Linked DNA regions of Arabidopsis thaliana. The protein of the gene in region 1 interacts with the protein of each later gene in a pairwise test. Each region holds a gene or a part of one and is shown on either strand. Other genes may lie near its edges.

Evidence for each region. The genes of interacting proteins can lie anywhere in the genome.
Region 2: the proteins of ROXY1 (region 1) and TGA7 interact in binary tests that used the Arabidopsis thaliana proteins (3 or more experiments, as listed by UniProt).
Region 3: the proteins of ROXY1 (region 1) and PAN interact in binary tests that used the Arabidopsis thaliana proteins (3 or more experiments, as listed by UniProt).

Annotation. Positions count from the first base shown.
Region 1 is NC_003074.8:331,173-335,484, forward strand, and holds ROXY1 (Thioredoxin superfamily protein), read right to left. Parts: upstream 1,901-4,312; 5' UTR 1,751-1,900; coding exon 1,340-1,750; 3' UTR 1,103-1,339; downstream 1-1,102. Other genes in the region: ACR6 (ACT domain repeat 6), read left to right, coding at 1-287, 353-457, 568-894. UniProt on the Arabidopsis thaliana protein: Has a glutathione-disulfide oxidoreductase activity in the presence of NADPH and glutathione reductase. Reduces low molecular weight disulfides and proteins.
Region 2 is NC_003070.9:29,295,737-29,301,445, reverse strand, and holds TGA7 (bZIP transcription factor family protein), read right to left. Parts: upstream 3,204-5,709; 5' UTR 2,806-3,203; intron 2,656-2,805; 5' UTR 2,606-2,655; intron 2,503-2,605; 5' UTR 2,488-2,502; coding exon 2,299-2,487; intron 2,209-2,298; coding exon 2,119-2,208; intron 2,013-2,118; coding exon 1,953-2,012; intron 1,875-1,952; coding exon 1,797-1,874; intron 1,691-1,796; coding exon 1,385-1,690; intron 1,306-1,384; coding exon 1,075-1,305; intron 992-1,074; coding exon 839-991; 3' UTR 501-838; downstream 1-500. Other genes in the region: AT1G77930 (Chaperone DnaJ-domain superfamily protein), read right to left, coding at 19-262; AT1G77910 (uncharacterized protein), read right to left, coding at 5,039-5,308.
Region 3 is NC_003070.9:25,769,076-25,775,305, forward strand, and holds PAN (bZIP transcription factor family protein), read right to left. Parts: upstream 3,576-6,230; 5' UTR 3,229-3,575; coding exon 3,161-3,228; exon of another isoform or gene 3,145-3,160; intron 3,067-3,144; coding exon 2,990-3,066; intron 2,891-2,989; coding exon 2,844-2,890; intron 2,747-2,843; coding exon 2,519-2,746; intron 2,082-2,518; coding exon 2,004-2,081; intron 1,918-2,003; coding exon 1,858-1,917; intron 1,790-1,857; coding exon 1,712-1,789; intron 1,637-1,711; coding exon 1,579-1,636; intron 1,496-1,578; coding exon 1,224-1,495; intron 1,186-1,223; exon of another isoform or gene 1,145-1,185; coding exon 899-1,144; exon of another isoform or gene 811-898; coding exon 664-810; 3' UTR 501-663; downstream 1-500. Other genes in the region: AT1G68630 (PLAC8 family protein), read left to right, coding at 1-191, 307-383. UniProt on the Arabidopsis thaliana protein: Transcriptional activator involved in the determination of floral organ number. Acts to determine floral organ patterning by establishing floral organ primordia in specific numbers and positions.

The DNA of each region.
Region 1 (4,312 bases):
GCTCAAGAGCTGCGAAAACAGTCTTCTCTTGTTCTGATACACACAGGGAGAGACGGTTGCATCAGATCATGTTTGATGATAGGGACTACGAGGGAGTCAAAAGAGCAAGGACATCGGCGTCAAGGCCCAGTGTCACACTAATGAACATTGAGAAGGATTATACCGTTGTTACCATGAGGTCCAAAGATAGACCAAAGCTTGTGTTTGACGTAGTCTGTACTTTGACTGATATGCAGTATGTGGTGTTCCATGGCATGGTCAGCACAGAACCAGTGGAGGCTTATCAGGTAACTACTCAACGGCCGTCTGTTGGGATCTCTCTTCTAACAATAATATGAGTGTTTTGCTGCAGGAATTTTACATCCGTCATGTGGATGGACTTCCCATAAACTCAGAAGCAGAGCAAGAACGTGTCATACAATGTCTGGAAGCAGCCATTGAGAGGAGAGCATCGGAGGTAACCAATTAGGAATGTGAAAATTCTCTGTCTTGGCTCAAATTACATTCTGTTCTGCATCGATTTCTGATATACTCAAGACAGATTGTGCATATGAAACATACTTTCAGGGTTTAGAGCTGGAATTATCAGCAGAAGACCGAGTTGGTCTTCTCTCAGACATAACCAGAACATTCCGAGAGAACAGCTTAACCATTGTGAGAGCAGAGATATCAACGCGAGAGGGTAAGGCTAAAGACACGTTCTACGTTACAGACGTGACTGGAAACCCGGTTGAATCAAAAATCGTGGAGTCAATCAGACAACAGATAGGAGTAAGCAAGCTGAAGGTGAAGAAGAAGGAGAAGGAGCATTGCTCTGTTCTTGGTACAAGCAGGCCTTCGCACGAAACAACTACAATGGGGTATTTGCTAAGTAACATCTTCAAACCCAAGTAGCTTCAAGCTTCACCTATCTCACTCATAGTCATAGAGTGTGTGTGTGCTTTGTATAGGTTAGACAGAGTAGGGCATCATTTAAGCTGATCGTAGCGATCCCCTCTCAACAAGTCCCTTGTGTGTAAATTTGTGTGAACAAAATAACAGGAACTGCCTTTGAATAGATACGGCGTCAGTTAATACCGTTGATTAATGGATCCAGGGGACATTAATAAAGATGCAAAGTGTTTACTATTATGATTTAATGAGAGCATTCGAAAGATCAATAAGAGATGAAGAAGAGGAAGACAGAGAAAGGTGAGCTTAAAACAACTCTCTCTCTAATTACAAACTATAATCTAAAACCTGTCATTACAGCCATTGACTAGTTTCCTAATCTTCCTCCACCACATTCTCTTACAAGAAAACTTCAAATAGAAAAGAAAAAAGAAAGCAGAGGAAGGGATCAGAGCCAGAGAGCGCCGGCGTCTTTGAGAAGAGGAACGAGAGAGCCGTTTATGTGAGAAGCCATGACTCTGTCCATAGCTCCAACCAGTTTACCGCCGATGAAGACGACCGGGAGAGACCCTGGAGAAGAGGAGCCGGAGCAGCCGAGGAGACGAATGAGGGCTCGCTGGATGTCGCCGCCGTAGGGGTGGAGGTCGAGCTCGTGGACGGCGGGGCTGACGCCCATTCCTCTGAAGAGACCCTTCACGGCGTGGCACATGCAGCACGTGCTCACGCTGAAGATCACCACCGCGCTCTCAGAAGCCAGGGACTCTATACGAAGCAGACCAGTGTCAGCCACCATCCCCAAACCGCCGAATCCTAAGCTGCTCATCTTGTATGATCCCCACGATTCTGTCTGGTATTGCATCTTTGATATCTCTTCTCTTTCTCTTGTTACACTTTTGTTTGGAAAGAAACTAGATTAAACACGAATAAGAGAGAAAGAGGGATTGGCTAAAGTTTGTTGGTGAGAAGAGAGTGAGAGCCATGCAGAGTATTTATAGAGGCCTACTACACCTCTGAGTCTAACTCTGTTTTCCTCTAATTATTAGTATTATTGTTTCTTTCTTTATTATTTGTGTATAATAACATGACCTCTATTTACTTCTCCATGAAAAAAAGAAAAAAAGTAACAAAACATATGAATTAAAACCGATGACATCAAGATAGTGATTGCTGTTGAAAACAAACACCGATAATAGTTATCGGAATAATTTCATTTTTTTGTAAAAAAAAAAAAAAAGGCAAGGAGAGTTGAAGAACAGGCTTTTATCAGAAGGGAGTTGTTGGTAATAGACGGCTCCGTCTGTCCTTCTTGTCGGCTCTTACCGCTCTCACCATTAATTTTCTTACCACTTAATTCTCTCTTTTTCTTTCTTTGTATTTTCAGATACATGATCATAAAGTAAGAAACCATAATTTCCACGTAGATAAGCTCCCTCAATCTGTACAATATGGATTTTGGCAGGGTTTTTCTTTTATTCCATTCTACTCTGTAAAATATATAATTCCATACGACCGAGTAATCATCAATCCAGCAAATGTGTAATCATCACATCATAATTTGTTAAGGAGTCAGAATCTTATGTTTCTTATCCAGATTAATAGCATCCTCCTTATATATATAGAAAAAGAATTATGACTCGAGAATTATGATGTGTACATATTTTATAAGAACAGCACCCATGAATTAATTTGGATGGGTTTAATTATAACAATATTAAAATTTGAACAATTTTATATAGAAAAAGCCTTTTTTTTTTTTCTTCAAAGTTTACAAAGTTTGTAGTTTGTGACATGCTTTTGGCTTCCACGCTTGTGTCCTTTATACACGAAATGCCTTTTTTGTGTGTCTCAGGTTTGAGCTCCACAATAAATTAAATCTTAAAATGAGATTTAAAACGAAGGATTGATGGAAGAGAAGATTTTATATGTATATTGAATATAGTAAGAGAAGTCCGTACAGTTATGCTCCCTCTAGCTGAAAAAGAAAGTTACTTCTTTTAGTGTTTAAACTCATGTATTTCTTTTCTGGAAAAAAATCTTTGCATGAGAAATCGTAAAAGATAAATAATCTTGTCGGATTGTGGTTGTCGGATCGCTTTACCTTTGATTTTTGATTTTTTTTTTAAAAATCTAGTTTTCCTGACAGAAGACTTACGTAACACTTGTCATACAATGTTTGATCTGTTCAACCGATTCTCCGATATTAACCCTTTCGAGTAGCGTATGTACATGCTTTTCAATAAGGGTATTTTGAACATTTCTGAAGTTCGTATTCAACGCCTGAAACTTGAAACTTTGAACATTCCTTATTCCTTTGTATATTGATCTAGCTCTTTTCTGTTTTTGGCTTTTTTTTTTATTCTTCAAAGTTTAAATATGTATATACAAGGCTAACATTATACAAAACTTTAAAAATCTTTCGTTTTATGATTATCAATAAAAAGATGATTTTCTTCTTGTAAAAAAAAACATTTTAGAGAGAAAAAGAAAAAAAAAAAAGAGATTTTGATCGATCGGACGGGTAGGGTTAGATGGCAGGAAACGAGAGCCCTCTGGCCTATATTAATTAGTACAACAAAATATATAAATTGATATCAAAATAAAAAATAGAAAGAATACGAGCGTGATGCTATCTTTTCAGCTTTATCTGGTCTTTGCCATTTATAAATATCTGTGTGTATGTCTCTCTTTGCACAATATTAATGTTGTGCTTTGTTATAAATATATCTTCATTTCATATTTTTATATTTTCAAATTTCGTTTTTTTTTTACCTCTTACGGTGAAACAAAGCCGATAGGGAGATGAAAGGTGGGGTTTGAACTAAACCCTAAAATAAGCTTTAGAGAGTTCTATCGTCGAAGTATAATGGTCCGAGTCTGATTCCAACACCTGACCAAGATATGTCCCTACGGGTTATAAAACAATGTATATATTATATATATACAAACAGCTGGCTCATATATATCTGTAATACACTGATACAGAGGAAGGTACATATCTGTGCCTATGTATGCGCGTGGTGTAGCTGTATATGCTATGGAACATGTATATATGTTATAATGTATATTGAATTTCCAAAAAGCTTTAGTTAGTAAAAAAATAAATGGAAAACGTAAAAACAAAAAAGAAGGCAAAAGAAAAAGGAAGATATCGCATGTCGGTGTCGCGGCGAAAAGGCGGTGAGGGTATTGTGGGAGTGCTCACGAATTCCCCTAAAAATCCTCATTTATAATTAGTATATAACCCTAAGCCCATGCAAACTGCAATCCCACTCATCTTTATCACTAACACTAACTATCTTATTATTTCACCAAAAGATAAAAGTATTTCATCGAGATATACGTCGATATGTTGTTCTGCATGCAGGTGCATGGCCCTCTATTATTTTTTGTCGACCACAAGTTTTTGTCTGTTTACAACATA
Region 2 (5,709 bases), on another chromosome or scaffold:
TTGGTAGAAGAAGCTTACCGAGAGTATCGTAAGGAGATTTCTCTTGGCTCCAATTCGATGCTCTAACTAGAGTCTTCCTCTGATTCAAACGAAACCAAAGATTCGAATTTTTAGACCTAAACCAAGACGAATTCGAACTCTGGTTTCTAAAGGCGACGTTTTTAATCGAAACCCTAAAAAGTGATCGACTTTGATGTCTACTACAACACACAATCGAAGAGAACACAGAGTATGGTCTACAGATAGCTCGAAGATTGCTCATAACTTCAAGTTCCAACCCAGAAACCGATCAATTTCGTAAACCCAGAAATCAAAATTCATATAAATCAAATTCCACCTCTTTATATGAACGAACAAGTAAGCTCACGAAAATGAAATTCCTGAAAAATCCAACCGAACAAGAGACTTCTTCTTTACTCTTTTCTTCAATTGAATTTTCTCATTTTCCTCAGAAAATTCCAACGGAAGTTTTTTTGTGGACGACTGAAGCGCAACGATGGGAAAATTACAATAGTACCCTTTGATTTATTGAGTTTCACATTAGTCCCTTAATAATACATTAAATATACATTCAGTACACATATTATCAAATTGCTCAGATTTCAAACTTATTTGTTGTATCTAAATATATTACAAAGTTTCAACCCAAATTTACAATCTTCTCTGGAGAGATACTTCATAAAGCAAAAACCATAAAGTTCTAATCAAGAGAATCTCACTCTACTTAATTAACAAAGATCTTTTTTAAAACATCCTTCCAAGCTTTGTGATGAGTATGCTTCTTCAAGACTTTTGATTCTGCTGTTTCTTGTTTTTAAAGTTTTAATAAGTTCCTCTTTTAAGTTGGTTCTTGTGGACGAGCTGCCCAAAGAGAACTAAGAGCACGAAGTCTATGAAGATACTCTCCTAAAGCTAGTAAACCTCGAGCCGATTGTCTTGTCGTTAAGATCTTCGCCATTTGTTGCAAAGTTTGTTGCCTCAGATGATCTGCCTGTTATAATCAGGATAGAGATGTTTGAAATAGAATGACACAAACTTTACTTAATTTGTTTTGAGTTAATGTTTACTACTTACTTGATTCACAAATCCTTCTAATGCTTGAAGATTCTCTATAGCTGCAGCCATGTGAGTGGGATAATGCGTGGACTCGATAACCGCATCAATCACAATGCTTTCAGCTAAACTCTGTTGAAGTTTATCAATCCCTTGAGACAGAGCATCCTCTGCTTGTTGTGATGATTGTTGGAGGTTTCTCACTTCCAAGATTTGTTGATCCGTTAATGGTTGAAGATAAGGCATCACAACCTACAAGAAAAGGGAAGGAGAAAATATTACATTTTGAAAATGTTTTTGTTAGAGATTGTAACATTTTGGGTATTTTTACGTTTAAAAGTTCGGATGGACGAAACCCTCCAATCCATTGGAAGAATCTTTCGGTTGAAGTTCGCCACATTCCCGATATCAAGTAGAAAACATCGGCTTTTGCTGCATCGGATTTCATTTGGAAAAGATTAGCGTAATGGTTCAAGCAACTCTCTACTAGCATCTTGAGTTCTATGTCGCTTATATGAGATTGAAGCGCTGTTCGTAGTTCGCTAACTCTTCTGCTTTGTTCTTGTAGCCAGTGTGAATATTCCATCTCAAATGATGCAATCCCTGTGTTAATACTCCCAGATGGTCCTAAATGGCCCTTGAAAGAAAACATTTAGTACTGAGTCAATTACGAAACCAAAACTGATTTTCTTGATAGAGACTCAAAACAGAACATTTTAAACATATCTTTTGACCTAGCTCACCTGCTGCTTAACCTTTTCGAGTTCTTGCTCTAACTGCGATAACTTTAACCGGCTTTCCTCTAACTGCTGAACATAAGCCTAAAGATACAAAAAAAAAGAGGACTTAGTAGCAACTAACTAAACTATATGAGATTCAATAAAGGGACTTGCTTCTACCTTCTTTCTCAAACGACTTTTGCGAGCCGCTTCTCGGTTCTGCGCTAAACGCCGTTTCATCTATTGGCATATGACAAAAGAATATCAATCAATATCACAAAAACCACCATTTTCTATTATGCATGTATAAAAAAGAAAACATAATTAGCTTTGTTTTGATCTAAACCTTATCATGAATCCTGCCATCATCATCTTGATTATCATTACTAGAAGGTTGTTCTGCTTCGATCTGGTTATGAGAAGAATCATAATTTATCTGCACGTGATTTAAAAACCCATTAGTAAAAAAACAAGTAACAACAACTTTCAAAAATCAATGAATCTTGAAAGAAGAAAACTAGTTAACCTTGATGTTGTTGTTGTGATCATCAATTCTAGGATCAACCTGAATAATAGAGGAAGTAGCAGTATTGGGACTATGATCATTGATATCAGATTTGAAAACATTTCCCCAACCGACAATTTGTTGAAATGGCTCATAGATTCCCATGTCTCTTAAAGATGCAAGTTGTGTTGGAGAAGAAGAACTCATCATCTCTATATATATCCTCTACATATCAAACCAATCATAGTTGGTAATTTAGAATCTTTCAAAAACATGCACAAGAATAGATCAAAGCAGAAAGAAAAAAGAAAGTTTTGTGTTGCCTCACCTTCAGTTATAGATCCAATAGCTGGCTCTTAAAAATTGCATTTGCTCTCACTGATACAAACCATAAACAGAATAAACTCTTAATCATTTTTAAAACTAATATAAAGTTTGGAACTAAAAAAAACACACGAGAAACTCCAAATTCTCCAAGATCCAAACGTTTCAAGTGAAAAACAGAGAGGGAGGGAAAATTTAACAAACCTTGATCGATAAGCAGAGATATTCATGAAGAATTTGAGAGCTGAAGAGTTAAAGATGCTTATGAAACACGTTTCTGGTTAATACAGAGATATTTTTCATTCGGACCACAGACATCAAATGGAAGAAGAAGTGTATTTCGTTCCTTTGAACACTTCCTGTCACAAAAAAAAAAAACTTAAAGGTCAAGAGTTCCCATCATGTAAAAGAGAGGAAAAAAGGATTTTTTTTTTTTGTTTTGGTCTTTTTCTATTTCATTTATTTGTGACCATCACGGCATCACCATTAGAGTAATATTTAAGTTAAAGAATTAATAATAGTAATCAAGTTTATTAAGAAATAATCACAATCAATTTAAAGGAACGAAACGTTTAACGACAAACAAAACGCAAGAGAGAGATGCATCTTTGGCAAAGCCGAGAAGGTGACCTTATCGTGCGCTTTAATTTCTGAGGTACGCACGACGTGATGTCATCTACCAAGAGCTGAAATACCTTCCGATGTCGACACGTACCAAGTTCAGTCGATTATTCCGGTGGTGTATAATTTATTTGCATTCCAGAATTGGAAAGAGTCTTATGTTTTAGGGTTCAAATAATAAATAGTTTTAACAGAACAAATATACTTTTCCCCCGTTTCTTTAAATTTTGGTATCGTGGGAAACTTTTGATTTATTGGTTGATCAAAGATTTAGTGCTTTTGACAGCAGCAACAGATTTTCTTAAACTATAGACAAGTTCGAAGTTTATCATAAATGTAGTGTATATAGAACCGTACGTTTTGTAGTATATATATAAATTGAATTGTCATATATGTAAAATCGTTTCATATGTTTCTATGTATGTTACGGCGATTTAAACATGTCGTAAATGATAAAATGATCATGATTTATACTATAATTAGAATATCTAAAGTTGAAAAGATTCATCCTTTTAAATATAAATATATATTCATAATCATAGCCCGAATTATCGTCTAACTGATCATGACCAATCCATAATTTTCGAAACCATTTTCACATCTTTTTGGACATGCACGCTGATGGGTCTGCAAAAGAATCAATGTCTTTTTCCCTATAAGTTAGGTTCATATAGGTGGTACAAAGATGTAGGATTTTCTTTCTTCAAATTTTATTTTATCAACGTTATGTTTTTATTTTCTTTCTTTTACAACTTTAGGTTTATTTTGAGGGGACCATAAGGTTTATGCAGTGGCGTCTTTATGCTTAGTCTCCTTCCCTGACTTAGTGACAAATAATTGGAGCTTTAATGGCCTACCAAACACAAAAGATAACATTTTTAAATCTCTTTATTATTTTAAAATTAGGAATCTTAATTAGTTCGGAACCACTTGTGTAATAAAAATCTGTGTGTTCGACAAAGACAAGCATGTTTGTTTATTTTCTTATTCAGTTTTATTTCCTCTCTTGGTTTTACTTTAATAAAGAGTCCCTCTATATTGTTTTTCCAATCTATATACTATAATAAATATGAATCGGTGCGGTGATACGCAAATAAATAAATACAAGAAAAGCAACAATATTGTATGATCCTGTCAGAATATCAATTGGCATCGCGAAAGATCATATATAGTTTGGCTTGATTTATTGGTAAATCGAAGTTCTTAGAAACTTACCGAGCTAACTAAGCCTTGGTCAAGAACCTAGATAATTTTAAAACTATATGCATGCATTATAGATATCATTGTTACGTCTTATAGTTGATGAAGAAAAAGAAAGTATGATTACAAAAGTTACGTACACACAATTCTACTTTAATTCATCACGAAGACACCGATCTTCCACTATTTTCATTATCTTCTTTCTCCTTTTTTTCGTTATGACTACAAAAGTTATGCATTTTATTGCTTTTCTCGTTATCTTCTCCGTACCTTTTTTAATCTCTTATTTCTTACATTCTTCTCAAGTACACTTTAAAAAAATATATCTTTCAAGATTGATATGGATTGCATTCTACTATTTTCAGACTATATTTTGCACCAGAAATAGTTTCTGTTTGTTTCCCGTTTTCTTGAAAAAAATAGTGGTTAGAAAATACACTTGAAACCAATCTAGGTGAATAAAACATGAAAACTTGTTTTTAGGTTTAAACCGCCGTAGGAAGAATAATCAAAGATATATCGTAACTGAGCAAATCAAAATTTCGAATCTATCATGCCCTGATGAGATTCTTGTGCACGCGAATGATCGATCATCAGACGTTCAAAAAAGGAAAAATTAAAATTCGAATATTTGTAAAATTGCTTCATGAAGAATACATAGTAAATATTCTCCATAAATTACAAAACAAAGAAGGAATATAAGAAAATCTATTAAAGGAGGCATATATATAAATATATATTTATATACTATAGTTCCTTTTATATAAACCGCATGTCGTTCAAAGATTCGAACTTGAACTGAACTGAGATTGATTCTCTTATTTCGCATTCCGAAAAAATGAATACATATTCTTTCATGTTGGTTAAACATGCAGTACAACCACATGATTAGTAATAATAAACTTTTGCTACAAAATCTTAAAATGAACACAGAATTTAAGAGATTAATATCTAAACTCTTAATATTATCTCCTTTGACTTACCGGAAGAGAAGCAAAAATAAAAATAATAATTTTTTTTGTTTCTTTCATAAATTATGAATAATTTAAAAGCAAAGGAAGGTGATGGGCTTCTTTTATCATTGCTTTTGTTCCCATTGTGTGGTATGAAAAAAGGAGCTGATTTTATTTGTTTGGTGACTAAGAATAAAAGGAGTATTTTTTGTTTTCTAATTGATAATTGTTATTGTGGTGTCCTTTCCTTTTAAAGACCAAACAAGCCGGAGGATATTCTCACGTCACACAAGTGCACATGACCTTCCTTCATTGTTGTATCATCAAACTCCAT
Region 3 (6,230 bases), on another chromosome or scaffold:
GATTCATCTAGCGTTAGGCTTTATTGGTTGTAGCTGGCTCTACGCTTTTCCAAACCGGTCTAGGCTTAGGGAACATTTCGCATTGCCTGAAGAACCATGCCGTGACTTTTTAGTCCATCTCTTTTGCACCCCATGCGCTATCTGCCAAGAGTCCCGAGAACTCAAGAACCGCGGCGCTGATCCTTCTATCGGTATTCATCTAATGCTTTAAAGATTTTTTTCCCCGGCAAACTTGATGTAACAACATGAAAACATAAAGATTCAGCTTACACAATATGTTTTTTTTTTTTTTTTGTGATTTTTCAGGATGGCTTTCGAATGTAGAGAAATGGAGCCGTGAGAAAGTAACACCTCCCATAGTTGTACCTGGCATGATTCGATGATACTTTCACGCAATGCGGCTATTATCTCTTACGGTTTAAAACTTTTCTGTAGATCTTGTAAGCTTCAGGTGTTTCTCAGTTTAGCTAGGGAAAGTAAAATAAAAAAAAACGATGACTGATTCTGAATGGTAACGTTCACTACCAACTAAATAAACAGATGATCTAATACACTAAAGAGAAGAGCGTTATGGGTCTTTTAGTTAAAAATATGTAAATATGAAAACCTAAGACCAGAACTATGCTTTTCCTTTGGTCATCATGACTCATGCAGGCTTTTTATTTAGTCTCTAGGTCTGGCTAACCATAGAGAGCTAAGTGCTCTAAGCCGAGAAATATAATCGTGGATGACCAAAAAGGCGCGAGCAGCTTGTCGTGTGGTGAGAATTCTGTGAAGCTGTTGCAGAGTTTGTTGCCTCAATAAATCAGCCTGCAAAGATATAGTAACCTTTAAGCTCTTTGATTTGTAATAACAAATGTTGTTGTTGACAAGAGACATTCTGTTCATTTTTTCTTACCTGGCGAAGGAAGTTTTCAAGAGTGCCAAGTTTGCCCATAGCCATAGCCATATGACCCATATAATCTGCAACATTTGCTGAAGAGTTTGGACCCATTGAAGCAGAAGAAAGCGTCTCGAGAAGTGATTGTTGTAGAGCTTCCATGCCTTGTGACAATGCATCCTCTGCTTGTTGAGACGATTGCTGAAGGTTGCAAATGCCTATCAACTGCTGGTCCGTCAATGGATCCACATGGTTCCCCAATATCTAACAACATAGTTACCAATTATGAGAAAAAAAAATCAAAACCAATGATTGTGAAAATGTTTTGAACCCTTTCTTTTACCTTAAGTAACTCTGATGATCTAAATCCACCTAACCACATGAAAAATCTCTCGGCAGGTGTCTTCCACATGCCTGAGAGCATATGAAAGACGTCAACTTTAGTACCAATTCCCTTTAGCCTGAATATTTCATCATAGTGACTCATCACAGCATCCACTAGAACGCGTAGATCGTTGTCACCTAACTGCGAATTCACACCCGATCTTAAGTCGTTGATCATTCTTTGATGTTCTTCCTTCCAACGTGTATATTCCAATTCAAATGAAAAGACACCTACAACATCAAAACCAACTTCATTCTTAGTAAAAGATCACAAAGAGTCAAGAAGTGTTATGTGAGATTCTGAAAGTCTTTACCATTTCCGGCTGCCAAATGCGTGTGATCCGCTGAAACTCCTCTTTCAACCAAAGATCCCTGCATACAAAAGAAGCCCTTTAATACAATTTAGTAGAACATGCAAATTAAAGAAGACAACAGTGTTAATCAGACCTGTTGGCGAGCTCTTTTGAGCTCTTCCTCTAGCTGTGCAAGCCTGATTCGACTATTCTCAAGTTGCTGAACATATGCCTATTAAAAGACAATGTAAATACAAAGATAATGGACGATGAAAAACACAGTTGAATCAGCTACTATACCTTTTTCCTCAACCGACTTTTCCTAGCAGCCTCCCGGTTCTGAGCAAGTCGACGAAGTGTCTGCCAAGAATTCAAAAATGTCAAAAGTTCATTCACACATAAACCAACGTATCCAAAACTCAAATGGTTAAAATCAGAAGATCTACCCTTTGATCACTAGATTTCACATTGGATTGATCTGAACAATTTGTAGCCAATAGCATCCCTTGATGACCTCCATTCAACTATATAACACAAACCAATCAATATACATCAATGCAACTATAAATAATGAAACAACAAACTTTACAAGCAACATCAACACGGCCAAGTAACGTTTTTCATATCATAAGTTCATAACCATAAAAAGGAAGAAACTTGTAAATTTTAGTAGTAAATTCAACAAACCAATCATCCATGTTGTGTCCCATTAAACCAAAAAACAAAACAGACAAGCTCTTATTGAAACAGACATAATCTGAGCAAACAATATTGATCGAATACCAAGGTGACATATCAATGAGAAATTATAAAAAAAAACAAAAGGGACAAAACAAAACTCCAACAAGTGTAGAAGAAACAAAACAGAAATGAAAGAAAAAAAAGACAGAATCTTTTTATCTTTTTTTTTGGTTGTGACAGACAGAGAGATTGGTTATTGAAGAAGACAAAGGAACAAAACCTGAGTCTTGTCATCAGTATCAATATCTGTGGAAGTGTCAGTATGTTGACTGTTATCAGCCATAGCTGAAACCGAATCACACCAACTGCTGTTCACTTCTCCTACTCCTCCTCCTACTAATCTTGTCCCTTTCTGGTACACTAGTTGCCCTGTGTCCAAACACTCCTCTTCTCCTCCTTCAAGTCTCTCCCTCAAGCCACCACCACCACCACCACCACAATCCATAACCTAAAAAACAGAGTATACATACATACATAGAAAGTCTGAGCTAAAAAAACGGAAACTTTTTTCTATTTTAAAAATTTGGGTTTGGTGAACTTTTTACCGTATCAAACGTCGTGTAGTGTAAGTTAGCTGAAGCAATAGTGACATCTGCAGGAAATCAGAAAATGGAACCTACTTGAGATTCTTTCAACAAAGCTTAAACCTTTTTGCACTTGTAAGAAAAAAGGAAGAGAAAAAGAAGCTAACTTGGACTTAAATCGATAGCTTCTTCATGGTGAAAACCATTGACTGGTTGATGAAACTCCTCAAGACAACTATCTCCTCTGTTTTTCCATTAAGAACAAAAAAGATTGGTTTTTTTTTTTGTTGTTGAAGCTTTTTAAGAAGAGAAAAAGAGAGAAGGAGAAGTGTTGTTACCTGAAGAAGTAAGAAGACTGAGAGTAGAAATCAGGAGTGAAAGGAACGGTTTTGAAGCTGCTCTGCATTGTTGTTGATTCTTAGAAGAAGAAGATGATGAAAGATGATGACACAAAGGGAATCAGGGGAAAAAGAAGTGAGCTTTCTTAAGGAGTTGGGTTATCAGAAGAAGAAAGTGAAGTTAAAAGGGAAGGAGGGAGTGAGGAGAGAATTCATTAAAGAGGTGAAAAGATGGCGAATCAGTACGGCTGGAGGATTCATCATTAATAAATACGAAATTACTATATTGTGTGTGAGAGAGAGAAAGAAATCAGAGAAGAGATTTTGAGATTTATGTTTAATAAAAAAAAAGTGTAAATGTATTGCGTCTGAGAGGGTGGGATTTTAGTTTCCCAATAACCAACACACACACCCACGTACCCTTTGTTTTCCTATTTTAAAAATATGTTACTCTATTTACTAATTTTTCCAGATTTTTACTACATCTAGTGTAGTTAATTTTGTGGGATTATAATGATCAGTTAACTTTGTTTTGCTAATGAATGAGGAAAAAATAAAACTAATAATGTTTTGCTAATGAATCTATTGTAATACTCCATTTTCAAGAACTTTAAAAATCTTAAACGATCAAAATATTAAATGTATGTAAGGTTGGATCTTACCTTGGTGAAAAAATCAACAAAGTGTCTAAGTATAGGAAAAATGTGTAAGTTTAGTTTTAGTTGACAAATTTTTTTTAATAAAAGGTTAGGATTAGTGATTATTGAGTCTTTTAATTATCTTACGTATTATCAAAAGCCTAATAAAGCTAGTTTCTAAGTTTGATCTCGCAATTTCTTTCCCATGTCACATTGTATATATTGTATGTTAGGACATATGGCTTATGAATTATATGAGATGTCAAATATTTTGTGACATTTTTTGTAAACTATTCTAACACAATGGTTCATGTATTATAGCTAGATTAGCAGCTAAAATATCACTCCTCAATATACGTTCAATACGAAGATAGCAAAACAAAATTGAATATGAATGAGTTCATGCTAATTTTAAATCAACCATATGTGTCATGTGTGTTACCGAATTATAATAAGATGTGGTTTAGTTTTTAAATTGAGACATAATGGTGTTATACGACACATTAGTATTTGGAATTATTATATGGTCTTTAACCAAGATATGAAGATAGAATCGAGAATGACGATAATTTGGATGTTTGCTGACAATGTGTCTCTTGAAACTTGGGAGTATGTTCATATCTTTCTTTCTCTAATATTTGATTTATTATTTAATTTAATTTTAAAGTTTCTATAATAAGCCTTCTTTTTTCTTGTGCAAGTCAAAATTTAGGGTTTGAAGAAAAATAAAATTTTAATTTGCCAAGATATTAGGCTTATGATTTGCTTTTAACTGTTTTTGAAATTGTTATTCTTTAACTATTTTGTTTTCATATAATTATAAACCTTCACGCATGGAATAAATGTGTAAAATTTGTATGTATATGTAATGCAGAGCCTGGATAATTCAGATACAGAGAGTGTCATTTCCATCTTGTTTTACTGTGTCTGCCAAAGTTGAAAATGGCCTCTCGACCACTGCCACTCTGAGTTTTTATTTTTTCCCATGCACAAAAGATATAAAAAAATATATAATTATTTAATATAAATAACAAAGCTAATGAATTTCTCTAATCAATTTTCAAATATTATAAAAACGTAATTAATGCACGATTTAGTTGATAACTGGATATGCTCATGAATCATGATGTATTGTTGAAAGTTTCTTCAATGTCTCATCTCTCATCTCTCCTGTAAAAATGTCAAAAGCCTAGCCTAAGATGTTATTTTCTCAATGATTATTTTTATGTATTTAACTATATAACTAATTTGAAGTTTAAAAAAAAAAACAGATATTAATGAAATCTAGTTACCATAAAGCAGGCAATAGTCTGGCTGGCTGGTTTCTGCTCTGAAGCTGATGTGATGTTGATGGAAAGCTAATTAAAAAATCTGCCAATATTTTTAATTTTGATTTATAAAATCATACACAAATAAATGAATTCTAATAGTATCCCTATTTAATGATAAAAACCAAATAATTTTTGCAGTATTATTAACTTGATATTCAGTGGACCGATGAAGAAGAGCATTAAAAAGAAAAGCTTTGCTTGAAAGAAACATCTTCCTCATTATAAATGTAGAAACTATTATGAGCATTAGTTTTTTTAGTAACTTTTTTTAAATGAAAATTTATTACTGTCTCCTATTCTAAAACCAGTAAACTCTCGTTTCTCCCGGAGGCTTCATTGACTTTTCTTTTACCAAATATTTACACATAACCGAGAATTGGATACCTATTTTACACCAAACCGGAAACGTACCAATAATGAAATTGGTTTTGGACAAGAGAGTAGTAGTACATTTGGCAGAGTCAATGACGTCTAGGCTCTGTTTAGTCTTGTGGGTATTTTCTTGTTTTTTACTCGTCAGAATCCGATCTTGTCTCTTTCTTCTCTTCTCATTTCTTTTTGAAACATTTGGGAGAAGTAAATAATCTTTAGAACATTTCTCTGCATCATATGTACCATTTTTTTTCTTTCATAAATAAAAAGGTTTAGAGTCTTGAGTGTTTCTCTTTTCCGAAGATAATTAGATACAGTACATTAGATTGTTACATTTGACCAAAACAAATCTTCTACAACTTCCTATTGATGATGATTTGACATGTGGAGGAATAAAGAAAGCAATGTTGTTGTTGTTGTTACACAGTTTTAATCATTTAGCTGTGCGAGCATAGAGACTATTAGCCATTACTTATAAGCCAACACAAAATTTACTTGGTCTTAGAGCTTTGGATTCAGTAGGTGCAAAAGGTCTTACCGGGACTATTCCCAACAACATTTCTGTAGATCTTACTTTTTATAACTCTGTCAGATAATTAGATATACTTGTACGAAAGTTTACTATATGAAATAAACAAGATCATGTAGTTCTCACTGGTTAATAACTGTTTAACTATGAGTCTAGAAGAAAGCTCGATATAAACTGTTTCATGTAACTTTGAGGTACTT